Linked DNA regions of Elephas maximus indicus. The main gene of each other region encodes a partner of the protein of the gene in region 3 in a complex. Links are inferred from orthologs where the notes say so. Each region holds a gene or a part of one and is shown on either strand. Other genes may lie near its edges.

Evidence for each region.
Region 1: MED20 (region 3) and MED18 share a complex: the UniProt entries of both Homo sapiens proteins name them as parts of the mediator complex. The link is inferred for Elephas maximus indicus from reciprocal best matches to the Homo sapiens genes MED20 and MED18.
Region 2: MED20 (region 3) and MED31 share a complex: the UniProt entries of both Homo sapiens proteins name them as parts of the mediator complex. The link is inferred for Elephas maximus indicus from reciprocal best matches to the Homo sapiens genes MED20 and MED31.

Annotation. Positions count from the first base shown.
Region 1 is NC_064821.1:68,790,252-68,793,999, forward strand, and holds the start of MED18 (mediator of RNA polymerase II transcription subunit 18), read left to right. Parts: upstream 1-1,593; 5' UTR 1,594-1,699; exon of another isoform or gene 1,700-1,977; intron 1,978-2,516; 5' UTR 2,517-2,590; coding exon 2,591-2,663; intron 2,664-3,748. UniProt on the Homo sapiens protein: Component of the Mediator complex, a coactivator involved in the regulated transcription of nearly all RNA polymerase II-dependent genes.
Region 2 is NC_064837.1:16,396,861-16,400,608, reverse strand, and holds the start of MED31 (mediator of RNA polymerase II transcription subunit 31), read left to right. Parts: upstream 1-891; 5' UTR 892-975; coding exon 976-1,003; intron 1,004-1,865; coding exon 1,866-1,943; intron 1,944-2,247; coding exon 2,248-2,344; intron 2,345-3,748. Other genes in the region: C19H17orf100 (uncharacterized protein C17orf100 homolog), read right to left, coding at 93-470. UniProt on the Homo sapiens protein: Component of the Mediator complex, a coactivator involved in the regulated transcription of nearly all RNA polymerase II-dependent genes.
Region 3 is NC_064819.1:106,349,706-106,353,453, reverse strand, and holds the start of MED20 (mediator of RNA polymerase II transcription subunit 20), read left to right. Parts: upstream 1-1,539; 5' UTR 1,540-1,662; coding exon 1,663-1,676; intron 1,677-3,748. Other genes in the region: BYSL (bystin), read right to left, coding at 872-1,139. UniProt on the Homo sapiens protein: Component of the Mediator complex, a coactivator involved in the regulated transcription of nearly all RNA polymerase II-dependent genes.

The DNA of each region.
Region 1 (3,748 bases), on a different chromosome or scaffold from region 3:
TCTTACCCCTTCTCAGGACTCATTTCTTACCATTCCTAACCTCAGGTTCTATCTATATGACAATTCTACTTAACTCAATGTTCCTTTGTAACTAATGTTCCCATTGCCTGGAATTCCCTTTCATCCCTTCTTTATGTTGCTAACTCCTATAAATTCTTCTAGTTACTTTGAGCATTAATTGCCTCTTCCAGGAAGACTTCCCTGATGCCCCCAAGATAAACCAAGTGCCCTGCTTGCTTCCACAGGAGTTTTGGGGTGCAGAGGTTAAGCACTATGCGGCTAACTGAAAGGTCAATAGCTCAATCCCACCAGCTGATACAGGGGAGATGTGGCAGTCTGCTCTCATAAAGATGACAGCCTTGGAAACTGTATGGGGCAGTTCTACTCTCCTACAGGGTCACTATGAGTCGCAATTGACTCAATGACAATGGCTTTTCTACTTGCTTCCAGAGCAACTGAACTTTTCATATCTCATTACCCTATTGCATGGAATCACACAGGACTGCCTCCTTAGTTCACCTAATTCCTAAAACTTGCCTACGAATTCTTTTGAGGGCAGAGGTGGAGTCAACAGGTATCGAGTATTTTAACACACTAGCATTTTCAAAAAATGTCCAATGAAAAAATGAGTAAATGGGCAGGTACTGTATATAGGTTAGAACAGGAGAACTAGAGCTAGAAGTGGCAGTATAGTGTAGTAATTTAAAGGGTGGGGTCTAAAGTCAGCTGCTTAGGTTTGTATCTCAGCCTCTCCACCCACTTGTAAGTTACAGAACATCCAGTTGCTCGAGTTTCCCCACCTGTAAAATGACAGTAATAATAATAATAATAGAATTTGGTTCATAGGGTTGCTGTCAGGATCAAATTTTAAATTTTGATATTTTGTTCATTATGGGTTTTTCTAATTTTGTAAAATATTTCATTAAAATATCATTTATCTTCATTACTTTTTGGGGGGCACCTTCTTAAATGTTGTGCTCTAGGTGAGGGCCTCCTTGTCTCACCCAACTCCCAGCTCTGCCTGCACCTTAGTGCTTCACACACAAGCGGTGTTCAATAAATATTTTTAACTTTTATCTGTTTCCCTATATTTTTAAACTTGGGTATACTTAAAGTGAACTAATATTGAGTGTATTACTCAGCTCCCTAATTGTGCAGAACATTATGCTAAACAGTATAGGGCGCCTTCTCCTTTCACCCTCAGGTACACAACAGAGGCCTCTGTTTTATAACTTTCTCCCCTTCCACTCTCCTCTTTTCCCACTAAGAAGCGCTGTTAGGAGTTCAAAGTTTAGGCATAATCTTCAGTCCTACCAGTTCCAAGAGATTTCCTATACGAAAACGTCTTCAGGTCGTCAAACTTTAAAAAAAAAAAAAAAAATTCCTGCAGGACGGACTACGACGTCAACGCTCCTGGTAGTCCCCAAGAAAACGCACCGAAGGAGGCCACCATCTTCCAAACAGTAGCACTGCATCCGCGCTTGCTCTTCTGCTTGCCGGGCCGCGAAGAGGACGATTTCGTGACTTCTCGGCACCCGTACGTGGCGGAGCGGTAGTGTCAAGGTTTACGCGACTCCCTCTGTACTGCCGGAAGTAGGGAGAGGGGGCGATAATATGGTTGCGCGCGCCAGTGGACGTTCCGGGTTTGGGTAACCTGAGGGCTGGAGTGTAATTGTCGCTAAAGTTTAAAGGCTCCGAGGTGCGCGGGTGGATATAATTCCTGGCTTTGCTAGAAGAAGCATAGTGCGCGCTGAGGTGCGTTTCTAGTGTAAGTGTGCACGTATCCTGGAAGCCGGTAAAGGAGCCTTGGTGGCGCCGTGGTTAAAGCTCTCTGCTGCTCCCGGAAAGGTCGGCAGTTGGAACACCCCAACCGCTCGGCGGGAGAAAGACGTGGCAGTCTGCAGCAGTGTGCTTCCGTAAAGATTTGCGGTCTTGGAAACCCCATGAAGCAGTTCTATTCTGTCATATAGAGTCGCTGTGAGTAGGAATACACTCCACGCAGTGGGTTTGGTTTTATTTTGTCATCTTCAAAGAATTTCACTCTTTTTTCCGTCCCGCTTTAAAAGATGATTTCAGTATTCAGAGAGGCAGAGCCTAGGTTCTAGCCTGGTCCGGGCTCCGCCACTGACTTGCTGCGTGTCTTTATAGACAGGGTCCCATAAATCGTCTTTCAGTTCTTCAGAATTTTATTGCATGCCCATCATGTCGTTTGCGCTACAAAGTCTTGGGAGTTAGATATTATGGTCCCATTTAATAAGGAAGACACTGAGTCCCAGAGTGAGGAGTTCCACGGTTTCCTCTAACTTCCAGCTAACTTTTTGGAGAGTTGAGAATTTGACACTAGAACGTTATGCTGTAACTCCATGACCAGATCTTTTTTGTATATTTCTGTATCCGTGCCTGGCCATGTAACAGTTACTCAGAAAGTTTTGAATGAATCTTTTGATGTCCAGGCCAGTGACTCAAGCCAGTCTCTCCACTTCTCTGATGTTTAAACAAGTCTAACTCTTCTCCAGGTGTATCCTGTGCCTTACCTGATTGAGGGCTCTGAGTCCACTTCTGTGGTCTTCACCTTAATCAGACAGACACCATGGAGGCACCTCCAGTCACCATGATGCCTGTCACTGGGGGCACCATTAACATGATGGAGTACCTGCTTCAAGGTAAGTAAACCAGGGAACTTGGATTACCTGTCTTCCTCTTTTTTTCTTCAGCTTCCCTGGAGATGAGGAACTTATACAAAGCTGACATACACAATTTCTGACACTCAGTAGACAACAACTATTTTTTGTCCCAATATTTTATTATGGAAAATTTAAAGCAGCATCTTAGTTACCTACTGCTGTCATCAGAAGTACCACAAGTGGTAGCTTTAAGGAACAGAAATTTATTTTCTCACAGTTCTGAAGCTAAAAGTCCAAATCAGGGTCTCAGCTGTATTGATTCCTTATTTCAACCTGCCTCTTAGTTCCTGGTGTCTGTCGGTGACCCTTGACATTCCTTTGCTTGTAGCTGGTCCTCAAATGTCATTTGTCTTCTCCCTCTGTGTATCTCTGTGTCCATTCTGATCTTTTTATAAGTTAGAAGTTATTAGGTGTAAGATCCACCCTACCCTGGTATGATTTCATTAACATAAAAAAGAAACCGCCTATTTCCAAATAGGTCATGATTATAGGGACAGGTGAACTTACCAGACTGTCTCCCGCCTCAGTGCCTGTTATGGATTGAAGTGTGTCCCCCAAAAATGTGTGTCAACTTGGCTAGGCTATGATTCCCAGTATTATGTGATTGTCCATCATTTTGTCATCTGATGTGATTTTCCTATGTGTTGTAAATCCTACCTCTCTGATGTTAATGAGGCAAGATTAGAGGCAGTTATGTTAATGAGACAGGACTCAATCTACAAGATTAGGTTGTATCTTAAGTCAGTCTCTTTTGAGATATAAAAGAGAGAAGCAAGCAGAGAGGTGTGAGGACCTCATACCACCAAGAAACAAGAGTCAGGAAAATAGCACATCCTTTGGACCTGGGGTCCCTGTGCTGAGAAGCTCCTTGACTGGAGAAGATTGATGACAAGGAGCTAGCACTCTGAATTCAGTCTTCTAGCCTCCTAGACTGTGAGAGCATAAATTTCTCGTTGTTAAAGCCATCCACTTGTGGCATTTATGTTACAGCAGTGGTAGATAACTAAGACAGTGCCTTTACTTGATGACCCATCCACCCTAGATACTTTTTTCATATCTCTTCA
Region 2 (3,748 bases), on a different chromosome or scaffold from region 3:
ACTGGTCCTCCTGGCAGCTGACTGGCTGGAAACTGGAGGCAATCGTTCGGTGGCCAAGGGCCAGGGCCCTCTCGTGGCCTTTGGACAGCATCTCACGGGGCCGTTTTTACGTTCTGGCGGGCCGCCGGCTTGTCCCGCCGGGCCGGGCTCTCCACGTGGTGCAGAGACGTCTCCACTCGCAGAGTCGACGCCCGGATGTGGCGGGAGGACGTTTCCGTGCACTGGGAGGAGGTTTCCACGTGCTGGGAGGACACCTCGAGGACGTGAGGGAGCCGTTTCCCAAAGGGGGCAGTGGGGGGCCCCTCGCTGCGGCGCAGGGAGGTCTCCACCTGACGGGAAGACGTTCGCACCTGCCTAGAGGATGTCTCCACGCGGTGGGACGAGGTCTCCACGCGAACCGTCGAAGTCTCCTTATGGCGGACCGTCTCCACTCGGGGTGAAGAGGGCTTTCCCCTAAGGGGCGAGGCCATTCTGGGGCTGTATCGCGGGCCAACGAGGCCTCGAGGGCTCACAGCCCACGCTCGCCCTCCATCAAGCCTCTGGGTTAGGACACAGGGTCACTTGTTAAGGAATGACGTCATAATGACGTATTATGTCATTGCAGGCACAATGGTGGAAGACTACGATGCTGTCACGGGCGAGAGGGCCACAACATGATGACACGGGATACTGAGGGTCTTGTAGAGGCTGAAAGCCCCTCGCCCTCAGGACCTCCCGGAGGAAAGGCCGGGCTGCCTTGGGCTTGGCTCTCGCACCAGCCGGTAGCCCCTCGAAAGCTTGCGTGGGCGGGGCCAGGGCGGGGCCGGACGGCGATGGGCGGAGCTGAGAGCTACAGGGCGAGGCTCGGCCCACCTCCGCCCCCGGTATCCCACACTGCCCCGGGACCGGAAGGTGAAGCTGTGACTTCCGGCATCTACCCAGTGGCTGCGGTCAGTTGTTTTGTCGAGTGGTGGCGGGCAAGTGTCTTTGGTTTTTATGGCCGCTGCCGTCGCCATGGAGACAGGTGAGTAGCGCTCTGAGCCTCGAATATTCGCAAATAGTACTATTTTTGGTCCAGACACTATCTCCCGTTTCCTCTTGGCCTCCTTTCGGGCCTAACTCCCGGCAGGATTAGAGCCCGGAGAGGGAGGGGCGGTGTTTCTTGTGGCGTCTGGAAAGGCGAAGGTAGTTTTTGCCTTTTTAGAGTTTCGTTGGTTCTCAGATATTTTCTCCACGCTTGCTATGCAAACACTGACCCCGTCGGCTTCCCGGCGTGGGCGAGGCTGAGGTATCTTCAATGGCCTCCTCCTCGGTTTATTTTCTGCGTTTCAAATAAGCTTGCACAAGTTTGAAATACCGTCGACAAACTTGTGTATCATTCTGCTGTTATTGAAGTTTCTCAGGTGTGCACATACTTCATGGTCTTTCACACTCTGTGTAGTCGTCTTTTTCGGCTTGCATTTTGAGTTTTTTCCTGATTTAGCACTCACTGAACTGTACCTTAATTTAGTGACTTAACGATTGTTGTTATAGTGCATTATTAAGGTAGGGGAAGGCAAAATTGTTACAGCCTATTTCAGTGATTTAAAGTCCCAGTGGCCCCCAAGTGGTAGGTACTCTGTATATTCCTGCTTTTGTTGACTTCTCTTTGATGTTAGAAAAACTCCTAACTTATTCCTTTTAATCAGAGCTCCTCTTTTTTTTTAGACTTCAAAGGAAGGTTTACCTCCTCCCACACCCAGTTTAGGAAAATCATCATATACTCTTCTTTATACAGAAATGTACTTCAACATTAGTCAGGTTTCTTTATTACGGCCTTTCTACAAATCAGGATTACATATATAGTGACATTTATTTTGGGTGACTTTCGATGTCTTCTGTCCTAGATGATGCTGGAAATCGACTTCGGTTTCAGCTGGAGTTGGAATTTGTGCAGTGTTTAGCCAACCCAAATTACCTTAATTGTAAGTTGTTGGGCACCTCCTTAAATTGAATATGTACAAATATTAATGATTTCCGACAGAAGAGTTGCAATTCATAATAGTACCTATTTTTATACCTTTTAGCTTAATTGAGTAGAATTAGTGCTACACTTATACTGTTGTATAGATGTAATTGAGCATGCTGGAGCTTGTTTTGAATTCAGTGTGTGTTTGTGGTGGGGATGTTAAAGTAAGCAAATTCTTTGTATGTTAGGAGTCACAAACCAGTGGCCCAAGGATGGGTTTGACCTACAGATTTTTTTTTTTTTTTTTTTGTGCCTTTCAGTTCTTGCCCAAAGAGGTTACTTCAAAGACAAAGCTTTTGTTAATTATCTAAAATACTTGCTTTACTGGAAAGAGCCAGAATATGCCAAGTATCTAAAGTAAGTTTAATTTTTATAATCCTAAGTATGTGTGTGTATTTGTTATACTGATCTTTAACAGACTTCTTAGTTTCAAATTGGAAAAAATATATATTTTGATTCTCCGGACCTCTTTTAGTTGTCACCACCTTAATACAAGGCACCCTCATCTGCTCACTTGGATTACAGTGATCTAGTGACTGGTTATCACTGCTCTCACTCACCTCCCTCCCTTACCCCCAAACCAAACAAAGCAAAACAATATTTTCTTCACAGAAGCTAACTTTATCCCTTAAAAATGTAAATCAGAACACACCACTTTCTCGCTAGAATTTTTCAATGGGTTTCTATTGTATGCAGAATAAAATCCAGTCTTTGTTCATGGGCTAAGTCCGTATATGATCTGACCCCTTCTTGTACGACCTTGTCTTGTACTACTCACTCCATCTCACTCAGTTTCTGACCCTAAGGAACCCAGCTTAAAAGTGCAATGACATAGCCATAGGCTGAAAATTAAAGAACACAGAAAGGTGTACTTGCAGGGAAGGAGTTTCTGAGGTGCCCTAGACAAGATGTTGTTGTTAGGTGCTGTTGAGTTGGTTCTGACTCATAGCCACCCTGTGTACAACAGAACGAAACACTGCCCAGTCCTGTGACATCCTCACAATTGCTGTTATATTTGAGCCCATTGTTGCAGCCTCTGTGTCAGCTCATCTCGTTGAGGGTCTTCCTCTTTTTCGCTGACCCTGTACTTGACCAAGCTTGATGTCCTTCTCCAGATTTGTCCCTCCTGACAACATGTCCAAGGTACATGAGGTGAAATCTCGCCATCCTCACTTCTAAGGAGCATTCTGGCTATGCTTCTCCCAAGACAGATACGTTCGTTCTTCTAGCAGTCAGTGGTATAGTCAGTATTCTTTGCCAACGCCATAATTCAAAGGCATCAATTCTTTTTCAGTCTTCCATATTCAATGTCCAGCTTTTGCGTGCATATGAGGCAATTGAAAATACCATGATTTGGGTCAGGCACACCTCAGTCCTCAAAGTGACATCTGCTTTTTAACTCTTAAAAGAAGTTTTTTTGCAGCAGATTTGCCCAATGCAATATACATCATTTGATTTCTTGACTGTTGCTTCCATGGGTGTTGATGGTGGATCCAAGTAAAATTAAATCCTTGACAACTTCAATATTTTCTCCACTTACCATGACGTTGGAGTCCTGGTGGCATGGTGGTTAAGAGGCTACAGCTGCTAACCAAAGGGTCGGCAGTTTGAATCCATCAGCTGCTCCTTGGAAACCCTATGGGGCAGTTCTAATCTGTCTTAAAGGGTGGGTGTGCGTTAGAGTTGACTTGACAACAGCAGGTTTGGTACCATGATGTTGCTTATTGGTCCAGTTGTGAGGATTTTTGTTTCCTTTATGTT
Region 3 (3,748 bases):
CTGTCTTACAGGGTCGCTGTGAGTCGGAATCTACTCCACAGCAACAGGTTTATCAGGCCTCCAGTTGGAGATGCCAAGTAGGATATAATATTGAATCTGGGTTCCACTGAAGAGATCTGGGCTGGAATGTAAGATTGGGAGTAGTCAGCAAACAGATGGTGTTCAAACCATGAAGCTTGATGACATCACCAGAGAAGTATGTGGGTTTAACAGAAGTCCAAGGACTGAGCCCTTCAATAATTAGAGGTTGGGAATAACAGAGGAGCCAGCAAAAAAGACTGAGAGGTGAAGTAGCAGTAAAACAGAAGTGTGATGTCTTAGGCATAGCTAACCCTCAGTCATTTTACCAGTCTCAGCTAATAGGTTAATTTGGAAAGCCCTTCCTGACACCCAAGACTATGCTATTCCTTACTGGAGAAACTGTAGTTTCTTTATTATGGAATGTATTATTCTAGTTGTCTATTTAATTGTCTCTTTTCTAGACTGTTGGGTCCTGAAGTGAGACAGTGTCTACCTTGTTCATTTCTGAATCCAAACTCCTAGCACAGTGCCAGGCACGTAGTAAGCACCCCATACATATTTATGGAACAAAAAGATCATTGCTTAGGAGAACCTGGTCTAACTTTGGGGATGCCGGGGAGTAAGAGCTTAAAACTAGGAGTGGGCGTGGTGGGGCTCTGACTACTCTAAATTCGCTCCACGACTCGGCTCCTACTCCAATACCTTTGTAAGAGTGTAATATGGACTCCCTTCTTTAATTCCCAGTTATTCCTTTGCAAGTCACCTCTAAGTCGTCCATCCTCAACAAAGCTGTGTTCGTCGCACACTCTGCCCCCCACCCCCGCTCGCCCACCCGCCCGCCACCGCTCACCCAGCCGCGTGGTGCGCTCCCTCGGCGCCTTGGGCCTGTCTCCAGTCCCATGTTCAGTCTCCAGCTCCTCCTGCTGCTGCCGCGCTTGTTGCAAAATCCGTCGGGTCAGCCGGGGGCCCACATATTCTTCCTCTTCTTCTCTGGTCCTGCGGCCCCTCCGTTTTTCCCGGGCCCCCGCCCGCACTGCGTCCGCAGTCAGGATCTGCTCCGCCAGGGGCGCGTGTTTTTCCCGATCCCCAGCCCCGCGTGCCGCCTTAAATTTTGGCATTTTCCTCAAAAAAGTTACCGGGAAGATTTACACGTGGGTACCGAGGAGAGAAGCCCAGCGCGCTTGCGCAGTGAACTCTCAGTTCCCAAGAGGCAGCGCAAAGAACAGCGCGACCCCCAGCGTTCGGAGGCCAGAAGTGCCATCAGCTTCTCCCCCCCTCCTAAGAGAGCTCGTGAGCCTTGGAGCTAGATACTCGAATACCTTCATTGCTGGTTCCTCTATGGGGTGGCAGTCCGAGCCATGCTTTCGTAGCTTCATGGACCCAGGCCCTGGATGCCCAGCCAAATCTCAGTTTCCGAAGCTGCAAACCTAGGGGCGGGAACTGAGCGGATGACGTTGCTGGAGGCGTCACCCAGGGGTTGCCCAGGCAGGTCTCTTTCCTCGTGGCGCGTCGACTAGGCGCACTGTTTTTACGTAACTTCCGGGGCGTTTCCCTCGCTCGAAGCTTTCCTTAGTGGGTTTCACTTCATCGAGAGTGCTGAGTTTCAACTGTTTGAAGCTGCAACCCTCTTGGCCGGACACCATGGGAGTGACTTGGTAAGACTGCAGGACCGCTCGGGATTTTGTGGGGCGAGACTGGGGGTCGTGAAGGACCTTCGGAGCCTCGAACAGACCTGGGAGGAACTACCAGGGTCCGCCGTCCCCCAGGGAGCTTAGCAAGATGTCTCCGTGTTGTGGGAATGAGAGGCACACTGTGAGGGCTGCGGGTTCTCCGGGCCTGTTTCCTCGAAAATGAGCCCCTGGAAGGCGGCAGGTAAAAGGTTTTATCCCAGAAACCCATTAATGTTTGTATCTCCCTTTTTTCTTTCTGCCTGTGAGGCCATATTACTGCTAGTAATAGGACTTCAGCTTCGGAAGTAGCATCTCCGGCCTGGCACCTATCAGCAGGCAACGCTGGAGGGAGTGGAGGGTAGGCAAGGAGAAGACAGTGTTTCTTTTAGGTTTTTGCCTGATCCTCCCTACAGCCACAAAGTGCAGTGAGACCAGTTTGTGTTTAGTTTCATTTTCGCCGTTTTAATACCTCGGGTCAAGAGTAAAAACAAAGCCACTGAGAATTAGAAGATGGGCTTCTAGTTGCTTTACCTCTTCAGGACGTGTTTCCTACTATGTTGGCTTCCATGGTTGGTGTAGTTTCTATCGGCCTTTTATTTCTAACATGTTGTAAGTCTCAGTTGGAAGAGGGAAAGGTGGGCCTAATGCTCTCAGAGGCATTATTTCCAAAAGGCTTAGTTTCAGGACGTTTTAATGTCATTCCATTCAAAGACATTAAAACATTTTTCCAGTCAGAGGGGCTGGAGCCCAGAATATCTGAAGTCAGTGGCTGTAGGCTTCTCATATAAAAGTGTGTAGGAGCATTTTTTTCTCCTGGTAGCCCAGGCTCTTGAAAGCTTGCAAGTGATTATGCCCATGTTTCCCACAGTTGATATATGATTCTCTTCTGAGTCCTGTAGTGTAAGAGGGATGGGAATGAAAAGTTTGCAACATGGAGGCTTGGGACCCTGGAAACCCCTGACACTTTGTCTGTTGGGACCCTTACCTTTTTTTTTTTTTTTTAAGAATCCTAGGACTTTTGTTTCTCATAGCTTTGGTTCAGGCATTTTCTTTCTTTTTTTTTTTTTAAATAATTTTTATTGTGCTTTAAGTGAAAGTTTACAAATCAAGTCAGTCTCTCACACAAAAACCCATATACACCTTGCTACACACTCCCAATTACTCTCCCCCTAATGAGACAGCCCACTCTCTCCCTCCACTCTCTCTTTCCATGTCCATTTCGCCAGCTTCTAACCCCCTCCACCCTCTCATCTTCCCTCCGGGCAGGAGATGCCAACATAGTCTCAGGTGTCCACCTGATCCCAGAAACTCACTCCTCACCATTTTCCAACCCATTGTCCAGTCCAATCCATGTCTGAAGAGTTGGCTTCGGGAATGGTTTCTATCCTGGGCCAACAGAAGGTCTGGGGGCCATGACCTCTGGGGTCCTTCTAGTCTCAGTCAGACCATTAAGTCTGGCCTTATGAGAATTGGGGGTCTGCATCCCACTGCTCTCCTGCTCCCTCAGGGTTTCTCTGTTGTGTTCCTGTCAGGGCAGTCATGGGTTGTAGCCGGGCACCATCTAGTTCTTCTGGACTCAGGATGATGTAGTGTCTGGTTCATGTGGCCCTTTCTGTCTCTTGGGCTCGTAATCACCTTGTGCCCTTGGTGTTCTTCATTCTCCTTTGATCCAGGTAGGTTGAGACTCATTGATGCATCTGGGATGGCCACTTGCTAACGTTTAAGACCCCAGACGCCACTCTTCAAAGTGCGATGCAGAATATTTTCTTAATAGATTTTATTATGCCAGTTGACTTAGATGTCCCCTGAAACCATGGTCCCCAAACCCATGCCCCTGCTACACTGGTCTTTGAAGCATTCAGTTTATTCAGGGAACTTCTTTGCTTTTGGTTTAGTCCCGTTGTGCTGACGTCCCCTGTATTGTGTGTTGTCTTTCCTTTCACCTAACGTAGTTCTTATCTACCATCTAATTAATGAATACTCCTCTCCCACCCTCCCTTCCTCCCCCCTCATAACCACAAAAGAATGTTTTCTTCTCAGTTTAAACTATTTCTCAA